4 linked regions of the Arabidopsis thaliana genome follow. The protein of the gene in region 2 interacts with the protein of the main gene of each other region in a pairwise test. Each region holds a gene or a part of one and is shown on either strand. Other genes may lie near its edges. The genes, in order: AT4G38690, AT1G01230, PLC2 and AT1G62330.

The links.
Region 1: the proteins of AT1G01230 (region 2) and AT4G38690 interact in a protein complementation assay, tested with the Arabidopsis thaliana proteins (one large-scale study listed by BioGRID).
Region 3: the proteins of AT1G01230 (region 2) and PLC2 interact in a protein complementation assay, tested with the Arabidopsis thaliana proteins (one large-scale study listed by BioGRID).
Region 4: the proteins of AT1G01230 (region 2) and AT1G62330 interact in a protein complementation assay, tested with the Arabidopsis thaliana proteins (one large-scale study listed by BioGRID).

Annotation. Positions count from the first base shown.
Region 1 is NC_003075.7:18,073,014-18,077,918, reverse strand, and holds AT4G38690 (PLC-like phosphodiesterases superfamily protein), read left to right. Parts: upstream 1-1,961; 5' UTR 1,962-2,219; coding exon 2,220-3,176; 3' UTR 3,177-3,599; downstream 3,600-4,905. Other genes in the region: AT4G38700 (Disease resistance-responsive (dirigent-like protein) family protein), read left to right, coding at 764-1,336.
Region 2 is NC_003070.9:95,109-100,244, forward strand, and holds AT1G01230 (ORMDL family protein), read left to right. Parts: upstream 1-2,303; 5' UTR 2,304-2,511; coding exon 2,512-2,697; intron 2,698-3,348; coding exon 3,349-3,497; intron 3,498-3,799; coding exon 3,800-3,938; 3' UTR 3,939-4,132; downstream 4,133-5,136. Other genes in the region: FKGP (L-fucokinase/GDP-L-fucose pyrophosphorylase), read left to right, coding at 52-444; AT1G01225 (NC domain-containing protein-like protein), read left to right, coding at 956-1,049, 1,446-2,134.
Region 3 is NC_003074.8:2,581,060-2,587,727, forward strand, and holds PLC2 (phospholipase C 2), read right to left. Parts: upstream 4,840-6,668; 5' UTR 4,498-4,839; coding exon 4,198-4,497; intron 3,690-4,197; coding exon 3,493-3,689; intron 3,405-3,492; coding exon 3,269-3,404; intron 3,183-3,268; coding exon 2,946-3,182; intron 2,866-2,945; coding exon 2,642-2,865; intron 2,554-2,641; coding exon 2,436-2,553; intron 2,293-2,435; coding exon 2,140-2,292; intron 2,058-2,139; coding exon 1,971-2,057; intron 1,861-1,970; coding exon 1,567-1,860; 3' UTR 1,303-1,566; downstream 1-1,302. Other genes in the region: AT3G08505 (zinc finger (CCCH-type/C3HC4-type RING finger) family protein), read right to left, coding at 10-686, 764-851, 974-984; AT3G08520 (Ribosomal protein L41 family), read left to right, coding at 4,973-4,984, 5,082-5,147; AT3G08530 (Clathrin, heavy chain), read right to left, coding at 6,112-6,267, 6,366-6,476, 6,590-6,668. UniProt on the Arabidopsis thaliana protein: The production of the second messenger molecules diacylglycerol (DAG) and inositol 1,4,5-trisphosphate (IP3) is mediated by activated phosphatidylinositol-specific phospholipase C enzymes.
Region 4 is NC_003070.9:23,044,779-23,051,585, forward strand, and holds AT1G62330 (O-fucosyltransferase family protein), read left to right. Parts: upstream 1-1,989; 5' UTR 1,990-2,186; coding exon 2,187-2,648; intron 2,649-3,043; coding exon 3,044-3,136; intron 3,137-3,218; coding exon 3,219-3,318; intron 3,319-3,411; coding exon 3,412-3,473; intron 3,474-3,564; coding exon 3,565-3,653; intron 3,654-3,761; coding exon 3,762-3,882; intron 3,883-3,971; coding exon 3,972-4,115; intron 4,116-4,189; coding exon 4,190-4,527; intron 4,528-4,616; coding exon 4,617-4,857; intron 4,858-4,966; coding exon 4,967-5,275; 3' UTR 5,276-5,559; downstream 5,560-6,807. Other genes in the region: AT1G62320 (ERD (early-responsive to dehydration stress) family protein), read right to left, coding at 1-77; AT1G62333 (uncharacterized protein), read left to right, coding at 5,688-5,900; ALE1 (PA-domain containing subtilase family protein), read right to left, coding at 6,345-6,748.

The sequences.
Region 1 (4,905 bases), on a different chromosome or scaffold from region 2:
TGTACAATTTCATTATTGGTTTAAATCTGTCTTTGAATTTGGGAGCGTTTAGTTGATCAGTGATCAATGGTGCGTAGAGAGAGTGATGTTTGTTATTAAGAGCCCAATTGGCCCAACTTAACCCGACCCAGTATCAGATCTGGCCCGTATTCTATAATCTTCTTGATCGGTGCAGTCCACTTAAGATATATGTGGTGAGGAATAAATCCAACCTGTACAAACACACAGAATGTAGTGGGACGGGGAATATGATAATACCACGCGCTTTAGAGCTGGGAATATATTAAAATTGATCAAAAATAGGCATTTTGGCTGGACTATATAGCTTACCCATTTTGATAACACGCGCTCAACGCTCCTAAGGTGCGCGTGGTACATATCCTTACCTCGAATAAAGTTTATGCTAGTTATTTGGCAGAATCTCAAAGCTTTTTAGAATCATAATTTTCTAAAATAATTAAATCTCTTTACATGTTTTCAAAGTTGTCAAACACTATTACAATTTTGAACATATCATCAATATCAGACAGAAAATTTTCAAAGTTAATACCTGGATCATATGCATTTACTATTTTCTTTTTGTTATATAGAAAAATATCAAATAGATTTTCTAAATAATGACATATACCCTCTTTTTATAGGAGAAAATCTTTTTCCTGTAAACATTCCTAAAATTACAAGTGATCAAACTATATATATATATATATGTTCTAGATTCATTTGGATAGTAAACTTTCATATCAATTCCTTAAGTTTATAAATTATGAAGAGCACATTAATAATATTTTTCACACTCTGTTTGAGCATGGCCGTTATGGCGCGTCACGAATCCTACTATGGCAACACCAAACCGGCTAAACTGAATGAGGAGAAAGTGACACGTGTCAGATTTTATCTCCATGATACTCTCAGTGGCCAAAATCCTACCGCCGTTAGAATCGCACATGCAAATCTAACCGGTGGCTCAGCTTCGCCGGTAGGTTTTGGAAGCCTGTTTGTGATAGACGATCCGCTCACCGTCGGGCCGGAGAAACACTCGAAAGAGATCGGGAATGGTCAAGGGATGTATGTCTCCGGGTGCAAAGACTTGAGCAAATTCACGATCGTCATGTACGCTGATTTGGCTTTCACGGCAGGGAAGTTTAATGGAAGCTCGATCAGTATCTTCTCGAGGAATCCGGTGGCGGAAGAGGTCGGAGAGCGAGAAATCGCGATTGTTGGTGGCCGTGGGAAATTCAGAATGGCGAGAGGTTTTGTCAAAGTAAAAACAAATAAGATTGACATGAAGACTGGTGATGCTGTTCTCCGATATGATGCTACTGTTTATCATTATTAACCGATTCATATGTTCCGATTAAAACAATAAAAAGGCCAACTAAATCAATTATTCAGATCAAAACTGAATTTTGCATGATCAAGAGATCAAAATTGATTAATTATGTTGCAATCTTTCTTCTCAATTCCCAAAATCTATACTAGTAATCTCTTTTACATATCTTAGTTGTGTGGATCGTGATATTTGAGATAGTCTTACAAAAGACATGATAGGGCCTGTGAGTGTATATGATTGGTTTTCCATCGGATCCTATCCGAATTTTATCCAAAATATTAATTATCGATGCCTTGTTTAAATTTTAGGAACGACTTTTATTTCATAGAAAATTTGAATATGTGTCTTCCAAGAAATAAAAATCACGTTGTATTGATATCTTTCACGTCGGAAAATAGCCAGGCATTAGAAATTGACAAATAACAAACAGTGAAGACAGCTATACAACAAAAATGGACCTACCATACATTGTAAACCCACTCTCCCATCAATTACAACTCAACCACTCTTTCAATATATCTCAACTAATCAATCAGTTCACATTTATAACACTAAAATGTTCCCACAATAAAAATTGTAACAGTTAATCTTACATATTAAACGCTACTACTTTTTTTCTATGGTTTTTGTTAAGTTAAAAGTTGAAAGTTACTTCTAATTTGCGAATATGTCAACGGTGTTTTGAGAAAGTAGCGTAATTATTAAAAGATTAACGTATAATTCGTAACTTCTTCAAACCAATAATAAGTAAATAAAAAACAATCATAACGACTTATGAGTAAAGGTTTATTGATAAAGAAGGCATGGAACATTTTATAAACAAGAGAGAACAGAATTCAATATAGTGATCAGAGAAGAGAGAGCAAAGGGAAAGGGTTAATCCTCAGCAATGGGCTCTCACCTTTCCAAACAACTCGAGCGGCGAAAAGCCATCTCCACGGAGAAGAAAGCCCTCACCGATCTCGAGAAATCGTGCGGCTGCGAGTTTCCGGGGTGTGATTACATGCCTTCCGATCGTAAAAACTGGATGGCCGGCGTTGGACCTGAAAAGCTTCACATCAACAAGATCGTCTGGCCTGGGACGCACGACTCTGCCACCAACAAAATCGGTATCCGATTCGTGTCTCGTCCCTTTGCTAAGTGCCAATCTCTCTCCATCTATAACCAGCTCGTGGCGGGTACTCGAGTCCTTGACATTCGTGTCCAAGAAGATCGCCGTGTATGCCACGGTATCCTCAAGACTTATAGTGTCGACGTTGTCTTGGCCGATCTCAAACGGTTTCTATCCGAAACAGAGTCGGAGATTGTCATTCTTGAGATCAGAACAGAGTTTGGACACGAAGACCCACCGGAGTTTGATAAGTATCTTGTGGAACAGCTTGGAGAGCATCTGATTCACCAGGACGATCACGTGTTCTCCAAGACAGTCGCTGAGCTGCTTCCCAAGAGAGTGATCTGCGTTTGGAAACCGAGGAAATCGCCTCAGCCTAAGCATGGTGATCCTCTTTGGAGCGCTGGTTACCTTAAAGACAATTGGATCGATACAGATCTTCCATCGACCAAATTCGAGAGCAACATCAAGCATTTGAGCCAGCAGCAACCAGCTACTTCAAGGAAATTCTTTTACCGGGTGGAGAACACAGTGACGCCGCAGCCCGATAACCCAATAATGTGTGTAAAACCGGTGACTAAGAGGATACATTGCTACGCCAAGGTATTCATCATAGAGTGTGTAAAAAGAGGATGTGCTGATAAACTGCAGATATTCTCAACTGATTTCATAGATAATGAATTTGTTGATGCTTGCGTTGGGCTCACCTTTGCGAGAGCTGAAGGTAAGGCCTGAGGAATGAGCGTGTGGAGACAGACTTTGTGTATCTATTTTGAAGGAAAAGAATCAGAACATGGTTGATGTGTTTTAGGGTTGCTTGTGTATAAGAGAACATGTGAGTGTGTATTTGTATGTGTGTGTGATTTACGAGTGTATATTCCAATTCATTACAACTTATTTGAATCCTGATACAATTGCGAGATATCCAAACTCTTCATTACTATTAATTTCTGATACTTTTGCAGATGTTGTAGTTGATAGACAGGCAAAACAGAAGGAAGAAGTATACAGTTGATGGTAAAATCTAGTTTTAACAAGTGAAAGAGAGCTGCTAACCTGAGAGATGACTATATTTCTGCAGCAATGCCCCTTTTTATTACACACTACTGTGATCTTCAAGAACAAAAAGATAATAGAATCAGTTATGCTAGAATTCATATCAGTAGCTAATGACACAATGCATCTCTATAATTTCATTATTTGATTATATCTATAAACTGAGATGATGGAAACATGGTGCAAAATCCTAATAATTTGAGATTAGATTTCTTCTCAAGACTTGAAACACAAAAGAAGAAGAAGAAGAGCATTTGATCCACAAGAGTGATTGAGCCGAGCCAAATTATTCTCCCTGCTGAGATCGGCAGCGAGACCACTCTTCTAGACTCTAGACATGGGATGCAGAGAAACCAACTTTTTTTATTTAAACGGCTGCGTTTTAAGTCATGTTCTCAAATGATACCAGTTTTTTTTTTTTTTTTTTTTTTGCTAAGCACAAGTTTGATTTGTTGTTTGGCACTTTACGATAACATCATTTTACTCCTATACTTTCTCACGGTAAGTGATTAAGATAAAAACATGCACATTTTTCGAATTATAAGCTAAATTTAAAGGGATCTATTTTCTATCTCTCAATAATTTTTAAATTTTACTCATTTTCTATTTCTCTTATAAATTAATTACTTGGTAATTTAGTTTTGTAATCGATACTCAAAAATCGATATCCAACAAAGGACAATCTCTTTGCGGTCAATAGTCTTCTCAAATTACTTCATACAATTATCATACTGTTTGGTAAAATTTGTGAATCTGCCTCATAAAATGTACGTGGAAAGTGGAACAACAGTTAATGCTTATTTTGACCACAAGATTGAGAAAATTTTGAAAAGAGTATATTGACCAGTTGCTGACGTTGCATGTCATTCTTTAATGTTGTTGTTGACTGCAACAAAAAATAAAATACAACATACAAAGTAAAAAAATAAAAATAAATTAATTGATCTTTGTTTCTCTATTCCCCAGAGAGCTAGCTTTTCAGATCTAAAATCAGAATCTGACGGCTGATATCCCTCGTGAAAAACACCCCAACCGTCCAGATGCAACTGCTTGCTGGGCCAATGATCCATTCTCTTTCCCGAAATGGATTAATCAATTTAAGCCTTATCACATGCTGGCCCATTTTCTAACTCCTCTTTTCTTTTTTAACTTACTTTTCTTTCTTTTAATATTTTAGTTGCAGATTCATTTTCGAAATCAACGAAATTTATGTTTTTTTAATTTTCTGGGTATCTTAATCGCGAGATTTTTTATTTTAATATCACGCTCGAATATACAATTCGGAATGTGCAGATGTTTTTTTTGAAGGCAATTTAGAAAAATAGACAAAAATCGAACAAACATATATAGAAATAGAGATCTAAATAAAAACATTTATTTTATTTCCTCTTGGAAACAAGGAAAAAAT
Region 2 (5,136 bases):
TTTTGTTAGCTACAGAGTCTCATTCATTTTATGCCTTTTTTATATAAACAGGTCAGGCTAGCTCATCAAGTCCTACACAAGGTCGTTACAAGGTATTTGCAAAGAGATAATCTCCTAATTTCAAGCATTAAGCGATTGACGGAGCTGGCGAAATCCGGTAGAGAAGCGTTGATGAACTGTGAAGTTGACGAGGTAGGCGACATAATGTCAGAAGCTTGGAGACTGCATCAAGAGCTGGATCCGTATTGCAGCAATGAGTTTGTGGATAAGCTTTTTGAGTTTTCGCAACCTTATAGCTCAGGATTCAAGCTGGTAGGTGCAGGTGGTGGTGGATTCTCACTTATATTGGCTAAGGACGCAGAGAAAGCCAAGGAGTTAAGACAGAGATTGGAAGAACATGCAGAGTTTGATGTCAAAGTTTACAACTGGAGCATCTGTATTTGAAAGATACATACAGTGTCAGTGTGTCATCATCTTGATTCTTGTAAATTGATATATTTTTTTGGGACCTTTGGAAAAAATAAAAGCAGAAGAATCTTTCAGATTTGCAATTAAAAACGATGTCGTGTGGTAAACAAAATCCTTTGCTTGACCAAGTCGTTCTCTTCTTGCTTCTGGTTGGTTTACTTCATAGTTCAACGACCACCAAGCTGTGAAGTGACCGTATTACCCCTGCCTGGAATCAAGGTCAAAAGGCCCCGGAAAATCAGTACGTTGGTAGCATTTGGATTTGGAGATAACGCCGTTAAAAGACTCTGTAACGGGTTTGCTCAACAGCTCTCTCTAGTTCGTTTATCGAATTAGATAATGCCACTCCAAAAAACGTTACTTTACCTTACCTATCTCGCTGACGTCAGATCCCACCGTTAGAGCTTACACTTGTAACGCCGTTTCCTGCATTTTCCACAAGCAAGGTAAAAAAAAGCTTTGTGCAGAGAGAGAGAGAAGAAGAAAAATGGGTTTGCTTACGAACAAGATTGAGAGAGAAGAGCTAAAGCCAGGAGATCACATCTATACTTACAGAGCAATCTTCGCTTATTCTCACCACGGTAACTTTAGATTCATTCTTCCCAAGTTTGCTCCTTTCTTTCTCGTTCATTCAATCATAACATCAAAAAGTGAAATTATCCTCAATGCAAGTCTTTTCTTTTAGTTTCTACTGGTCGGTTTAATCTTCTTATTGAAACTGTAAATTCACAAAGTTGACGACTTTATCTAGATAGATCTTGAAGACAATGGTCTATATTCCAATCTTTGCATGACCTAATTTCACCCTGGCTCTGTATTTTGATGTTATTCCATCATATCTTCTGATCTCTGATGGACTTTATAGATGATTTTTGTTTATTTGACATATTTTTATCCCAATTTCCTCTGGTGATGAAGAATTGATACTGTTGTAGACATTCCTTCATGGGCTTTGATTTGATTGTGGATTTTTGCAGGAATCTTTGTCGGTGGGTCCAAAGTTGTTCATTTCAGACCTGAACACAACCCCATGGATTCATCAACATCATCAATATCATCATCTTCCTCTGAAGATATCTGTTCCATATTTCCTGATTGCGGTTTCAGACAACCGGACAGTGGAGTAGTCCTTTCTTGCTTAGACTGTTTCCTCAAGAACGGCTCACTCTACTGCTTCGAATATGGAGTCAGTCCATCGGTTTTCCTAACCAAAGTCCGCGGAGGGACTTGCACAACCGCGCAATCTGATACAACTGATTCAGTCATCCACAGGGCAATGTACCTTCTCCAAAACGGATTTGGCAACTACGACATTTTCAAGAACAACTGTGAGGATTTCGCGCTCTATTGCAAGACCGGTTTGCTTATAATGGATAAGCTCGGTGTAGGGAGAAGCGGTCAAGCTTCTTCAATTGTTGGTGCTCCTTTGGCTGCACTCCTCTCTTCTCCTTTCAAATTGCTTATTCCAAGTCCCATTGGTGTGGCAACAGTTACTGCTGGTATGTACTGTATGAGTCGCTATGCTACCGATATTGGTGTTAGAAGCGACGTCATTAAGGTCTCAGTTGAGGATTTGGCTCTCAACCTTGACGTAAAGACCATTGAGCAAGGTGAAGAAGAAGAAGAAGACGAAGAAGAAGATTCTGATACCGACTATGTTAGGTGACAAACAGATACCTATCACCTTTGTTCACGAATTTCGATATACATAAGAAAACATTTCAGTTAGAATCCTCATGTTGGTTTTATGTTCCCTTTATTGCATTTGTTGGCCTATTTTCTGTCTGTACAAAATGAAAACGCAGACGTTTTGGTTTGGGTAATGTCAAAAATATCCCAATAATTAATTAATGCCCAGTGTAGATGCAAAAAAGCAGTCGTCGTCTTTCACGGGCACACAAAATTAAACCAAAGAAACAAACAATCCTTGTTCTCGCCGAAATAGAGAATTTTGTGAATCTGGGTTTTTAGTTCAGGTGTTAATATAAGATTTTGATCAAAAGAAGACGAGATTCGATCCGATCCGATCTGATTGAAGAAGAAATGGCGAATCTGTATGTGAAAGCGGTTCCACCACCGGATATGAATAGGAATACGGAATGGTTCATGTATCCAGGAGTTTGGACGACTTACATGCTTATTCTCTTCTTCGGTTGGCTCGTTGTTCTCTCTGTCTCTGGTTGTTCCCCTGGAATGGCTTGGACTGTTGTTAATCTCGCTCACTTCGTTGTAAGTCTTCGATTGTGTTTATGCTTTAGAGATGATTTTTTCACTTAGGGTTGTGACTTTAAATTAGATGATGGATTGATTCCTTGTTTTTTTTTTATTTCCTGAGATCTGGATGTGAATCTGGCTCTAGTGTTTGAATTGATCTCTTTGGTTATTAGCAATTTTTTAGTTGGTTTAGGGTTCGAATGAAGAGGCAATTACCTTCTGATTGATCAGTTTTAGCTATCGTATATCGTTGAGCTTGGATCAGGCTTCGAATTAGGATACAGTTACCTTCTTATCAATGAATTGATCAGTTTTGGTATCAGCGATTTTGAATTGATCTGTTTGGATACTATCAGCAGTGTTGACTGTTGAGTTGATCAGGCTTTTAAGTAAGATGCAATTCTCTTCTAAGTTTGAATTGATCGGTTTTGGATCAGGCTTCGAATTAAGATGCACCTTCTCGTTAATGAATTATCAGTTTTTGATATCAGAAACTAAAACTACCTATGGCATCAATGCAATTTCTTAAGGTCTAACTGTTTGATATAATGCGGTGACTTGTAAATTGGCATTGCTTGATTGTCAAAACCAAATTTAATCTAATTTCTAATTACTCTTTAGGAAAATGTGATGTCTGAGTAGAAATTTGTGGATATTTGTTGTCAGGTAACGTATCACAGCTTCCACTGGATGAAAGGAACTCCTTTTGCAGATGACCAAGGAATCTACAATGGTTTAACTTGGTGGGAACAAATGGACAATGGTCAACAGCTTACCCGCAACCGCAAATTTCTTACCCTAGTTCCTGTTGTTCTGTAAGTCCCAGCACCTTGTTCCTCAAAATCTCACCACTCTTGTCTATTTCCAATCTATATTTTCTTAGCAAATTATTTTCTTTAGCTGCATATATCCTTGTGTCTCATATGGTTAATAAATATGCTAATTTCTCAATACACATATCTAAATCCGGTGATGTGTAACGGACTAGTTCTAGAGAACTCTGTATACGCGATAATGTGTATAAACAAGAGCTGCATTTATCTGGATGAACTTTTAAGATTGAGCTCTTTAGCTTTTGTACTTGTTTTCTGACTTTATAACGACACATTTAAAACAGGTACTTGATTGCATCGCATACAACAGATTACAGACATCCATGGCTGTTCCTCAACACACTCGCTGTGATGGTTCTCGTTGTTGCCAAGTTCCCCAACATGCACAAGGTACGCATCTTTGGTATCAATGGTGATAAATAAGTTTCCTTTACGGCAAGAGAACACCTGAAAGAAGGAAAAGGGGATATAAGCGAACATATATATGTGTAAATGTTCATATGAGTTGGTTTAATTCTCGAGTCATGTTTTTTGTTGGATATTTGTAAGTAAACTCTCTAATTTTGAAGCTTTCATCTTTTACCTTTTATAATAGACACGAAAAAGCTTTCCCTTCATCTCCCCACTTCACTTCAGATAATGGGCCTAATAGCAATATGGGCTTGAACAATAATTGAATTTAACAATGGCCCAAAGATTCCTGTCGTGGTGACTCATGAGTTATCATAACACCAGAATGTTTTCGATTGAGCGTAATGATTCAGTGGGATCTAAAGAACACGTGGCTGCCTACAAGATCTCTAACAGCTGGTTAATGACACGTGTCATAGTTAAAGTCCACCTGGATGGATATTATATCATGGTGTACGTATACAAAATAGTTAATCCCTCTTCAAAATTGAATAAAGCTAACAAAAGTAATCAATTAACGTGATTAAAAAAAAAAAGAGAATGCTAATTGGACCCCGAAAACATGATATATCCTGCAAAATTAAAGCCGACAAAACGAAAGAATGACTAATTAAAGTTGGAATAAGACTAATGATTTTTTTTTTTTTTTTTCTTATTGTGGTCCAATGTAAGAAAATAAATAAAAACATCTTATCCATTAAATCGAAAGTAGGGTCCATATCGTAATAGCCGTCGATTCTCTCTTTAGCCAACACGTGTTGTCAATCCAGCTGTTTCAGATGCTTACCAAGCCAAACAAGTTATTGAAACTGTGTCGTTTTGTGTCCCTAACTCGGAAGCTTTTACGGAAGAAACTGTAAATTTGGTTCCATGGGGCCAGAGAGTGTGAGAAACGAAAATTAAAAAAAAAGAGAAGAAAAGCCAAAAGCTTCGGTCGCGCAAGATCGCTTCATTTGTTTCTAGAGTGATTCATGGATTCTTTAAACTACTAATAATGGTATCTTTAGTTGTTACTTCGTTTTCTGATCTATTTTACAAATCTTACTCTTTTGCTCTGTTTTCGTGGTTTTGTTTAGATAAAAGTCTCTGTTCTTCTAGTTTCTTCCATCAGACTGTTTTCTCATGGATCAGTGATGATTTTTGTTTCCTGGGTCAACTTCTGATTTTGGAATTTCTGAAAATTTTGGTAAATTTACTCGATCCCATTGCG
Region 3 (6,668 bases), on a different chromosome or scaffold from region 2:
TAACTATACCTGAGTTTAGCCTTGTATATGTCGATAATTTCCTTCTTCTCCTCAGGAGAAGAGTACCAGACCACACTAGGGACAACAAAATAAGAGAGTTTGCGACATATAGGACAAGCTCTCAACGTACTGTTGACATCCATTCCCGAAACAGGAGCACTGCTACGCCAATTACGAATACATTGTATACAAAACGGATGATCACACTCAGTCAACAGCCCAAACTTCCTTTCCCCTGGAGTAGCCTTTGACAAGATACGATCCAAACACACACTACACTCAATATCTTGACTTTGTTTCAAAGCCTCAATGTGCTTCTGCTTCTTCTCACATTCTTTCGTATGCTCTTCTCGTTCCTCGGGTCTAAAAGGATGCAAACACTTCTTGCCACAAGTATTGCAGAGGTCACCATGCATATGTGGACACTGGTTACCTCGAGGGCAATCACCAGCTGCAGCAAAAGAGCAGATCGGGTACTCTCTAGGGTGGATACAGTAAACGTTAGAGGATTTGTCACCGTCATTATTATCGCCTTGTTGTTGCAAATGCCTAGAGGGGGTGGTGGATATAGAGCGATCTAAAGACTCAGAATCTGAGCTAAGAGGAAGATTGGAAGCAGCTCTGACATGATCGTATCTACATCTACTTCCGTACAAACATATTCGTTTCTGATAGAATGTGCAAACCTAATTTATACAACCAAGAGTCAAATATTTGGGACTGATGAATCAAAAGAAGGAAACTTGAGAAGAGATTAGATTACATTATTGGGCGGATCCTTAGAGTCATGGGAAAATTCGCAATTTTCGCCTTTCAAGCACGAGCCATGGACAAAGAACTTGCACAGTATCCTACAAAAAAGAAATCAAATGAATCATCGTCCCCAGAAACGAAAGAATCAATCTTTATCACCAATCAAAGAGACACAAAATTGAAGAGTTTGATGAATCGAGAAGTTGGGGGATTACGATACCTATCGGACATTTGGGGATTTGTGCGGAGAGAAGAAAAAAAAGGGTGGAAGAATGGAGAAGGAAGAGAGAGCTTTATGTGAAGAAATTGAATTTGTACGGTTTTCAATTGTTGAGGACCAAGCAGACCCCAACGTTTTTGAGATAGAGCGCGCTTCCTCCACCTCCACCACCACCTCTCTCTTTCATTTACTAAAATATCCTTTCTCTTTTCTTTTTGGCCAATTTTGTTTTATGGGGTGTGATTGGTTATGTTTATGGAAATTCGATCAGTTTTATGTGATACATAAGAAAATTCTTTGAAGCCTTCTTGGTGGAATGGAATCAAACAAGTTTTAAAACACACTTGTTACACAAAAACCACAAATCATCATACGATTCAAGTGTTACACGAGACTACTACATAATAATACAACAACACACGATACAAGACCGTCTCTCTCTCTCTCACTTTCGTCTTTTATGTACATAATATTACAAACAACAAATCAAGCATACATTCTCTCTCACACATACAAATCCTCCAAATTCACAAACTCTGTGGCACTCAAACCTACCAGACAAGTTTAAATGCTGTATCTTTCTTAATCATGTCTCACACAAACTCCACCTTCACGAGAAGCTTAACGGATTTGTACTTCTCTCCTTTCCGGCTATGTAAAGGAAATGCTCTTATTCCTTCGCTTAGCTCCCAAACCGGTAAGCATGTCTGTCCTCCAAAATCATCTTTCTCTGACATGTCATACTCATGCACTTCTAATCGTAGCAGGGCCAGCTCTGGAACGGTTAATGGGAACTCAAACACCTCATCCCAAGCTGGTATCCAATTATCCTCCAGTGTTTTCGTCTTCTTCATTACTGTATCCCCTGGAACTCCAGCTATCCCAACCTGAATATGCATCAAAAGCTCAAATTGTTATATTGCAAGCATAAGAGACAAGAAACAGTTCTATCTCAAAACATTTGTGTGAGGTTTAAGGCAGGGAATCAAAAATTGACCCTTGTATAGAAGTCAGGCGGTGAATATTGGTCAAAGTGTGTGTGGCGGAAATCAAAGTACCAGCCTTCTCCCATGTATACAGTTACCTAAGGGAAAGAATAAGTTCACTGAGTTTGATCGGATTTGAATTGGTAAAAGAAAGACCAACCAGAGAATCAGATATCTCACCCTAAGTGTTGTTTTCACAGGTAGAGTAGCTTTTGGGTCAAATATGTCACTATCCGAACCACTTTTCAGCAGAAGGTCAGGTTTCTTGATGTAGCCACATCCGCCATTGGCTCTAAACATTCCCTGCATTAGCCACAATGATCTTCCATACCCCTGTACATGGAAAAAGATCACAATCAAATCAGCTGAGGAATAAGGTTGATGTCCTGTAAAATGATGGAACATAGCTCCTCCAAAATAACTAGAAGTTTTACTACTACGTAGAAAGAAGTTGGTAATATAGCAGAAGGAGATACCTGCATATTGAAAGCCACCATTTGAGCACCGTGGCTCCAGCCAACCAACGGGTTGTAATTTGATGATGTGACTCTAGTTCCTTTTGGGTATATCCTCAGCAAATTGTGCTGAGTAAACCTGCGCCACACCATGATTAACAGGATTCATATTGAGTTGACAAACTGCAACTATTACTTAGAAACATAAAAACATAATATGACTATACCTCACAATCTGCTTCGCATATTTTTCTGCTGCCTTTTCAAGTTGTTCTTCGCTTAAGCTAAGGCGTCTAACCTTGTCAGGATCTACCTTTAAACACTCAGTAATTCCGCCTTTTGGTTTCCCAGCATGGATTGCAATCAAATGTTTATACTGGGGTGGTGCATTAATCTTAGACTTGTCTTCATCATCATCATCGTCATCATCATCATTTCCATCTAAGTCATCCTGCAACAAGAAAGAAAACTAACATGTTTGTCCATGAACAGCAACAGAACAGAATGAAAATGATTTGTCTTCGTACACACCTTAGCTTCACTTTTGTTCCTCTGAATAAAGCTCGGAACTTCTCTTCCCCAAACTTCTTCATCCCCCAAGTCTTTACCTTTCTGCACCACTTCCACATCTTTTCCTTCCTTGTACTCTTTTGGGGGTTTGGTTGAGATGATAATACGTCTTTTTAAAGAGTTTGGCGATGGGAACTCCTTCAAAGATTCTCCCACAGGAGGAGTAAACAGAATTTCCCCAAATATCTCAGTAACCATCTATCATACAACAAGAAAACACATCTCAAAACCAATGTACTCATCTATTAAAGCAGCAAAGAAAGAAATGCAAAATAAAAAGCTACCTCAGCAACTTTAGACTGAAGATCTGGAGTAAGATGATCTTCAAGAGTTACAACAACAGGATAGTCAGATACATCAAAGGCATGTGCTCTGATAGCTTTGAGACATTTGATCAACCCCACAGGTGTAGTGAGAGTCCTGTTTAAGAATGGTTCAGTAAACAAGTTAAACGCCAAGCACCTAACCTTGACTTGTTTTTCGAAATAAATTTGAAGCAAAATTATACATTCCGTGAAGAACATCAATATCGTCTTTGTTGGAATTGGGCCATATATCCAATTCAATGACTCTAACACCTTTCTTCAACGCATCAATAATAGGTACCTCACTACAGTCACTGCTCAGCTGATTACCAGTCAGATAAGAATTATGACCAGTGAATATGAAATAATGCGATATAGGAGCATCCATGTCATGATGCACCTGAAACACCACAAATTCATTAGAGATAAGTCTATAATCAATCTGAAAATAAAAGCTAGCACAATTGAGTCACAATTACATGTATAGCCGGAATTGTAAAAATATTAATTACTTGTATCATGGATTTTTGTGTCAGAGTTCCTAATAGAGTAAATGTCACATTCCTAGATATGTTACTTTCTCAACTTTTTTTTTTTTTTTGAGACATAAAAAGAAAAACAATTCTATTGCTTCAAATTCTTGAATCAGACTTATTCCACAACACCTAAAAAGTACATAGCTCCTACGACTTTCTACCAAACAGCAGCTTCGAAGTTCGAACTCTTGATTAGACTCAGTGAAACATTCAAACAAATTATTCCAAAAATCTCACTTCCTCACACCATTTCCTCAATTACCAAACAAGGAAAACGAAAAATCCCAATCCAAAATCTGAGTTTCTTATATCAATCAATCATAGTTTACTTCAGATTCTGAACTCATAAAATCGAAATAACACGAAAATTACCTTATGGAGAGCAAGAGGAGGGTTATTATCACCAAAGAGGTACTTGAAGAAAGCATCAAGATGGAGACCATTACGATGAAGAAGAGAAGATGCAGAATTGATAATTGACTGTGCATCTTCTCTGGTGGCTTTATCTTGTTTCTGAACATCGATCAGAAACCTGTGGAGATGATCAACGGTCATAACTCCATTCTCTGAGTACTTTTCGAAAATGGTCTTGATCTCACGCGGTGCCTCCGATGCAGTGTAACGAAACCTCCGGCGAAAGCAGAAACACACTTTGTACGTTTGCTTCGACATGAAGTAAAGAAAAAGACGGATCTTTGGGTAATGATTGGAGACGATGATGAAGGAATGAAGTAGGGTTTGTGTGTTATATAATCAGAACTATCTTCTCATTGTTTTTGAAATCAGACAAGCGAGATCAGAATCGTCGTTTTGCGTGTCGCATCTGCAAAGACAAAGAGATTTTTTTCCTTTCTTTCTAGTGAATCTCCTCCATGTAATGTTTAATCGATCTTGAACCTTGTCGGAAAAAGATCTTCTTTCTCTCTCTGTGCGAATATCCCCTCTGGCAAATTCTTATCCATTTGGGTTTTATTGGGCTTTTGAAATAATAAAGCCCATTAAGTTAGTTACTAGGGTTTTGTTGTTGTTTAAAGGAGGAATAAGAGCGTAAGCTACAAAATCTTTCTATTCATCTCCGCCGCTCCTCATCCTGTAAAGCTAAACAAATAATCAGAGGAACGAAGGAGACAGCTTCTGCGAAATCAGCATGAGAGCCAAGGTTAGTAATGGGTTTTGATTGTTTAATGGATTTTTTAGTGATGAGAAATTGAAGTAGTGTGTAGGATCTTTATGGTTTGTGTGTTTGTGTGTTGCAGTGGAAGAAGAAGCGTATGAGGAGATTGAAGAGGAAGAGACGAAAGATGAGACAGCGATCTAAGTAGATTCGGGAGTTTGTTTTGTCTTTCTTCTTTTTAGAACCAACTCTTATGTGAGTTTTGTTGGTTTTGCAATTTTCAATTTGAATGTTTTGTTGGACCAAATCGAATCTATGTTTTCTATTAGAATTATGTTTATTACATGGAATGATCCTTATGAGTTACTGATTCTCCTTAAAGTTCTTCAATCTGCTTATCATTTTGGTTTAATTGATTATCTATAGTTAGTGTCTGCGCTGGATGAGTTTTATCCTGGTGAAGGTTGAACTTTTGATATTAGAAATACCAAGTGAATTTGTATGTCATCTAAGTATACTAATAAAAACAAAGTATGTTGGGTTGATTGAATCTTTCTATCCAGAACGTTTTCTTAGTAATGTAGCAGAAATGTGTGTTTACGGAGGGATGCAATTTTTAGTTCATGATGTTCAGATGACTATTGGTACTTAGGTTTTTATGTGTACATGTGAAATAAACCTACCCTAAGATTTCATTATTATTTCATGAAAATGAGATTCACGTTGCATCTATGTCTTTCTGATGCTGATGAATGATGATGATTGTTCTGAGGTCAACCAAATTCTCATGAAGGATTTATTTAGTCCTTCTCGATATTAATTGTTTCATATATGAATAACAACAAGGTGAAACTGATCAACGGTTTAATAAATCGAAAGTCGAATGGAATGAAATGCTGAAGGAAAGTACAACTACAAAACTCATATGAGTAAGAGAGTTGAGTATATATACTCAAAAATGGCTTTTGACAAAAAGTTAAAAAAAAATTACTCACCTAAACCCAACAGAATATTACAACGAAAGGAGGTTATTATCCACATTATTCCCAGACAAATTCTGGTCAGACATATAAGCTAGCTAGCAGATGAACACCGCCCTAGCAAATTGGGCCGACTCTATGCGCTACTGATACTTTTCCAAATGCGGATATTAAAGCATAAGCTGGTCTGCTTTAGTAGCCGCCCATCGGTGGCATTCCATATGGTGGCATGGGAGGCATTCCTGGCATACCGCCCATTTGTGGTGGAGGACCATACCCACCACCACCTCCCATTCCTGGCATCGGTGGTGCAGGTAAAGCAAGTGGCAACATTTGGGCATACATGTTCTGTTTAAAAACAAAAGAAAAACATATTACTCCTTTAAGTGTATCTGTCAAGATAAAGAGTCGGATGATATCCAGTGTAGCTGTGTCATAAGTAGTACCTGTTGGGATATGACATCCTTCTCTTCCTGCTCTTTGGCCTTCACCTCTTTTTGTGCCTCAAGCTTGTCCTTTATTAGCTCATCCACTTTGCCAGAGTACTCTCGGATAAACTGCAAAGAAAAAACGACAGGAAGAAGAGAATTCATCATAGCGTTCAAATAATGGTTCCAACCTCATTGAGCAGAGAATCAAAAGAGTTTATTTGAGGGTTAGGATAGATCACCTGGAGGAGATACGGGAAGGCAAAGTCCATCATATTGTTGATCCAGGCAAGTTCTAGAGCCACGTCTGGTCGGATTAAG
Region 4 (6,807 bases), about 23 Mb from region 2:
GCAAATAGCAATAGAAATATCAATGCACTTAGAATATTAATCGCTGCTGCTAGTCCAATATCTGCTAATGTCGCCATCTCCTCAAACTAATTTATAATAAACCCTCACAAATTCTTTCTTCACCTGCAAATATATAAGAGCCCTAAAAATTGTCATAAGAGTTTAGACACAAAGATCAAGTTTTAGATTTGTATAATAGTCAAAGACGCTTATACTAATCTCACCTTTAGAAACTCATTACTCAAAAAAATTTGGCCCTTTCGTTGACTCTTTTTTTTCACAATGTTCTTGCGATCAGATTGAAGAAGAAAATAATATGAGATGAATCAAGAAATCATATTGGTGAAGTGGAGATTTGTGTGGTTTGTATAAAAGCTTCTTCGAATATAATCTTTAAATTTTCTTCAAGGAAAAGTATTGCACAAGTTTCTTTAGTTTTCTCTTCTCCTTCCTCTGAAAACAGAAACAGAGAGAGGGAAGAAAAAACAGAGTATGGAAAAAACAGAGAGATTGGTTCTGTTAACAGCACAAAAATGGGGAAGAGAAGAAAAGAAACTTCGTGCCGTTTTTGTTGATACAAAACGCTGAAAATACACGGAGAAATAGAAGAAGAAGAAGATGATGAAAAAGTTGGATCTTTTTAAAATCTTTGAATCTAGTTGTTGTTGGTCGGCCGTCTAACTCAAGAGACTATTATTATTCCTTGAAAAAGTTTCATTTCAAAAAAATGTCCCAATTGGGTTTATTCCTAAATTAAACTTAAACCAGCTCTAACTTTTTATTATTATTACACATCTATCTTATTTGTTTTAGATATACCCATGCTTATTTTGGAGATAAAGTTAGATTAAAATAACTAAAATAATAACTTTGTTGCTAAAATAAGATAATGACTTCATAGTTGACTAAAGTAAAAAATCATGAAATTAGCTTAATTAAATTGTTACTAATACTACTCAAGTAAGAAAATAATGAAAATAGGCAAATACCGTGCCATCACGTTGAAGTCTATAATTTTTTTTGTTTTTTTTTAATAATCATATTCTTCAGTATAAATCACCTTTTTGTCTATTTTATTCCCAATACGAATTACTTTTCTTACGTCCAAATCAATGTGAATAATCTAGCTACATTTTTCTTCATTTTCTTTTTTTAATAACCACCTTTCATCAGTGTCACAGAAATTTATCTAAGGACGTGCGTTAAGACTATCTGGGATTACATCAAAACTGCAATTGTTTTTTAATACTCTCATTATATTAGTCCTTGTAGACGTGTAGTACTAGTACCATGTCGAAAAAGTAAACATTTGTATCAATTGCTATATACATATATTAAAATGGTTGTAAATACAATTTTAAATTCTTAACTTAATTATCTTGAAAAAGTAAGTTAATAAGTGTCTGCATGTGCTATATTTCCTTTAACAAAAAAAAAAGGCCTGACAAAAGGAAATTAATAAGTTCTCTAACTCTTGTCTAATTAATATAACACCAAAAACAGATGTCTAGGCCCCAATTAAAATCATATTACTCTGATATGCAGAAAGCGTATTTGAAACCCTCCACACAAAAAGCCCAATATACCAAACACATGCTTGCAACTATTTTTGTTTTTGACAGCTAGTTTAGCTACTTGTTTATGTTATGAAACACAATGAAAAATTATTCAAATTTCATAGATATAGCTTCAACAAGCTGTAGATAGTAGTAATAAACTAGTTTTCAATTTTATTATTTACGTAGTTGGTAGGAGCTAATCCAACTTTACACATCGCTAAATGAAAAATTATTATTCATCTTAAATACTCAACAAAATTATTAATTCTGTCTTACCAAAATGTTATTAATTCTAAGAAATGATAACAACTACTAAGAACAGTCTACTTGATCAATTTCTTATAACTTTGAAACCACAACGGACATACGTAGGGTTATATTTCGTATTAGATAAAATAATAGGTAAAGATTAAAATGATTTTAAAGGACAGGGACCTTAAATTAATACCAGCGTCAATCTCAAGGTTTAAAAAAAACTTTAATAATTACGTTCAGACAAAGAAGAAAAATCCTCACTGAAATTCGAGCAAAAAACACTCACTTCGCTCTTTCTTCGCTAGCTTCGTTAAATTCAGCAAATCTATCTCTCACGATCGAACAGAACTGAGAGAGAGTGTGAGCTTAGCCATGTCTTCTGAGAGACCAGACGAAGAGAAACCAGAGACTCGCGATGTTCTTCGAGTCCAAGATCTGATCCATGGAGGAGGAGGAGCTTCACCGGTTCAATCACCGACACGTCTCGGTCCAACCCGCTTTTCAGAAGTAGCTGGAGACAAGATTCTTAACACCGGGTCGAATTGTATCGGGTCGGTTTTGTCTTGGATCAACGGAGATCCAAACCGGAATTTGAAAAATCCGGTTAAGAGAGCAAAAAGGAAACGAATCAGAACGGCGAAAACCGCCGCGTTTGTAATCGTACTTGTTGGTTTCTTCATTTTCGTTAATTGGTTTATGCTCTCTCAGCTCCATGAAGGTCGAGCTTGGCTACGGAGAGGATTCTCGAAAAAAACGAATCTTAAACCGAAACTGAACCCGGATCCGAACTCGAGTGTGAAACGGGTATCCGTTAAAGTGTCGGCGAATGTACAGGTAAATTAGTTAAAAATTTAATAATGTGATTGGTCAGTCAGTTTACTGTGAACTTTAACTTTTTAACAGTCTGTTTCTTGTCAAATCAATTTCAAATCCCCAAATGGTTAAATTGTGTAAAAATTTAAACTTTTTGTCTAATATACAATTACTTCAAATACAGATTTGGTTAGAGAAAAATAAAATCCTCTGTTTGAGATTTGTTAGTTAGAATGTGAAAATGCTGTGGTTAGGAGACAAAGTTTACATGTTTGAGATTTTGCTAGGTGAAGTATGAAATTATTGTAGTAAATGGTAAGTTTATGTAGTGTAATGTTATATATTACATGATTTTTGCATTTGGATTAATGGTTATGGAAGTTTCATTTGATGTTGAGTGACTTATGATTTGGTAGCATAAAGAGAAGAAAAAGATGGGAAAACCAAAGAAGACATATAATGGAACATATGGTAGATTGTTGGCTTATGCTGCTCATGCTTTGGCTGAGGTATTATCCTTTCCGCTTTCGACATTTCGAATTCTTAAACCGAAACCGAAAAGCCTACTGACCGAGACATTGTGTTCGTTAGGGGCAAAACAAGCTTGAACCAAAAGAGTTGTGGAGAGAACCAAAGGACCAAGCTTTGGCTTGGAAGCCTTGTGCTGATCAACGTTCCTGGAAGCCTAGTGGTCTCTTACTCTTACTCTCAATGAGTTTATTTCTCGTACTATATAGGTATAGTTTTTCTGATTTTTGTGTTTTTTTTTGTGTGTGGAGTTTAGATGGTAAAAATGGATATATAATGGTAACTGCAAATGGTGGGATCAACCAACAGAGAGTTGCTGTAAGTTTTGATTGCGTTACACATTACTTTGTCATGTCCCACTCTTTATATTGACTAACCGTTGGATTTCGCGGGGACATTATTAAAACAGGTTTGTAACATCGTTGTTGTTGCGCGGATGCTAAATGCGACACTCGTTATTCCTAAATTTATGTTCAGCGATGTCTGGACCGATGCAAGGTAACTATTGTAAGGTCCCTCCGTTCTCTGTCTCCTTCTCTTATAATTGATGCTTTCTTGAAAACGTCAAATTTTAACACTCTTGAATGGTATATATATGTTTCATAGTCAGTTTGGAGATATCTATCAGGTGGAACACTTTATAAAGTATCTTTCTCCTGATATCCGGATTGTAAAGAAACTACCCAAAGAGCTTCAGTCTCTAGATCTTGAGGCTATTGGCAGCGTCGTAAGTTCCTTACACCGCTTTTAGTGTGAAAAACCGATTTCATCTTCGTATTTTTTCTAATGTAGTTCTCTTTTATGTCGTTTTTTAAGGTTACGGATATAGATGTCATGAAAGAAGCCAAGCCCGGGTTTTATATGAAGCACATTCTTCCTCTTCTACTCAAAAACAGAGTCGTCCATTTCTTAGGATTCGGAAACCGTTTGGCCTTTGACCCGATACCGTTTGAGTTACAGGTAAAGAACCTTCTTTTAGCACCGTGGATATCGATATATTACCCGTAATGATCCAACTTTTTCTTGGGGAGTAGAGGCTGCGGTGTAGATGTAATTTTCATGCGCTAAACTTCGTTCCGAAGATACAAGAAACGGGTGCGATACTCGTAAGGAGATTACGAGATAGTGGATCACACCTTGCACCAGTTGACCCGTATCTCGTCGGTCCAAAATTTGCGTCATTCATATTGGACAAGAAAGCAGGTCCTCTCCATAAGGCTTCTAAGTATCTAGCAGTCCATCTCAGGTTTGAAATTGATATGGTGGCTCATTCTCTCTGTTACTTCGGAGGAGGTGATGCGGAAAAGGCAGAGCTTGATGCTTACCGGGAAAAGCATTTCCCGACGTTGGCAAATCTAACAAAGACGCAAAAGTTTGTTCCTTTCCTCTCTTAACTCTTTTTCACATTATTATTTCAGTTTTGGTATCTCACTGAATGCCCTTTTGTTTTCTCTTATGCAGAATGCCATCTCCAGACGATCTGAGGACAGAAGGACTTTGTCCTTTATCACCTGAAGAAGCCGTGCTTATGCTTGCGGGTCTGGGTTTTAGTCGGAAGACACGTGTTTTCGTCGCTGGTGCGAATATATATGGTGGGAATAAACGGTTAGCAGCTTTAACGAGTCTCTACCCGAATCTAGTCACCAAAGAGAATGTACTCTCACAAACTGAGCTAGAGCCTTTCAAGAACTTCTCATCTCAGGTGAAATGAAAACAAGAAAACCCGTCAAAACTTCCTTTTCGGTTTATCGGTTAACTTTCTCCGCTAAACTAAACCGAAGAATTGCATATTTTTCTTTCTGGTTATGTAGCTAGCGGTTCTTGATTTCATTGCATGCGCTGCATCAGACGCCTTTGCGATGACGGATTCAGGGAGCCAATTGTCGTCTCTGGTCTCGGGTTATCGGATATATTACGGAGCAGGGAAAATGCCGACGATCAGACCGAACAAACGGAGATTCTCAGACATATTGTTGAAGAACAATACTATAGAGTGGAAAGTGTTCGAGCAGAGAGTGAGAAAAACGGTTAGGCAAACCAAACATGTATTGGTTAGACCGACGGGACGCAGCGTTTACCGTTATCCAAGATGTAAAGAATGTATGTGTAATGAAGATTGATTATTTGGTTTACATTGTTGGTTCGGTTTTTTAAACGGTCTTCATATTTTTCATGGCATTTGTAGCGGCTACACATTCTAGTGAGTACCAAGCTTGAGTTTGGTACCAATATGGTATTATTAGTATTTGGTTTTGGGGGTATTTTGATGCTGGAAATACTAAGATTGGGTTTGGTAAACCGGTGGTAAGTATGAAATTTATCTCTCTATACATGCATAAGTATGAAATCCTTCCAGAAGAATTAAAGTTAGCTTGAAGGATTAGGTGGATAACTACCATTCTACTAAGCACTTATTTAATGAGTAACTGTTTTACACTTCAAAGACTTGTCGGTAACAATGATTCTTCATCTTGATGTTATATATAAACTAAGTTAGTACACAAGACAGATATTGCAATAACAATTCACAAAATGCCTTATCCTCCTCCTCATCGTCATCCTCCTCCTTTCCACCATCCACCGCCACCAAGACCACCGCCTCCGGAGCCTCGCCCTCCTCCACCTCCTCCAGGACCTCAGCCACCACCTCCACCTCCTCCCAGACCTGATCCACCACCTCCACTTCCCGGAGCTACTTGGTTTCCAGGACTTCTTGGGCCACGCCCTCCTAGACCACCATATTAGTCGTCATGAATGTTTTGGTCTATTTAAGTATATAATTCGAAATATATATTGTCGAAACATCTTAGATCTTTAAAGATTTCATATGTGTAACACTTTCATGTGTATTAGGCTCATCTGTGTAATCATCCTTCATATGTGTAATTAGAATGTATCTCAACCTTCGCAGGGTGGTAGGTTGAAACGGAGCACGCTTGCACTTTATTTGATTTTGTATTTGTAATGTAAAATTTAGAATATAATAACTAGTTTGTTGTTTACGTTTTATGTGAGAGCCGCTGAACAAATAAAAAAAATAACTCTTCCTTATTCCATACATTCATTTTATGAAAAAACTTATCTCCGTTCCTATTTGATGGAGTGTCAATAACCTTTTCGTTGGAAATTTTTAAGAATAAAGACCTTATTTTAAGTGAGATCGACAAGTAACAATAAAATTTTATGTTTTCAAATGGTTTTAACTGACAACGGTATTCTTATAATATGGTTTAAGCTTCCAGTAAGAACAACTTCACCAAATGTAAACTTGTTTAAGACTTGTGTGACATTGAATTCGATGTCTAGGTCTTGAGTTTTCTGTGGTGGTACGGTAAACCAAGTTGGGGTTAACCGTACAGTTGTACCATTGGGAGGTAAAACCGAACCAAGATATGTCTCAGTCTTGTTGGAGACGTCTTGGAAACTTCTTCTCACCACAAGTGACTCTTTAAGTGCAGATATAGTTACTGACGGATGGTTAAGGTTCGCTGGGTGGCTAAGCGTAGTGGTACACAAGACTCCTGTCGCGTCTCGGATAGTGGCTGGGCTAATGTTTGGCAGTGAGCACAAGAAACTTATGTAGTCTTCAAAACCTGGTCCAATACCCCAAAAATGATATTATAAAGTTACCTATAAGATTTTGTTTTACTAC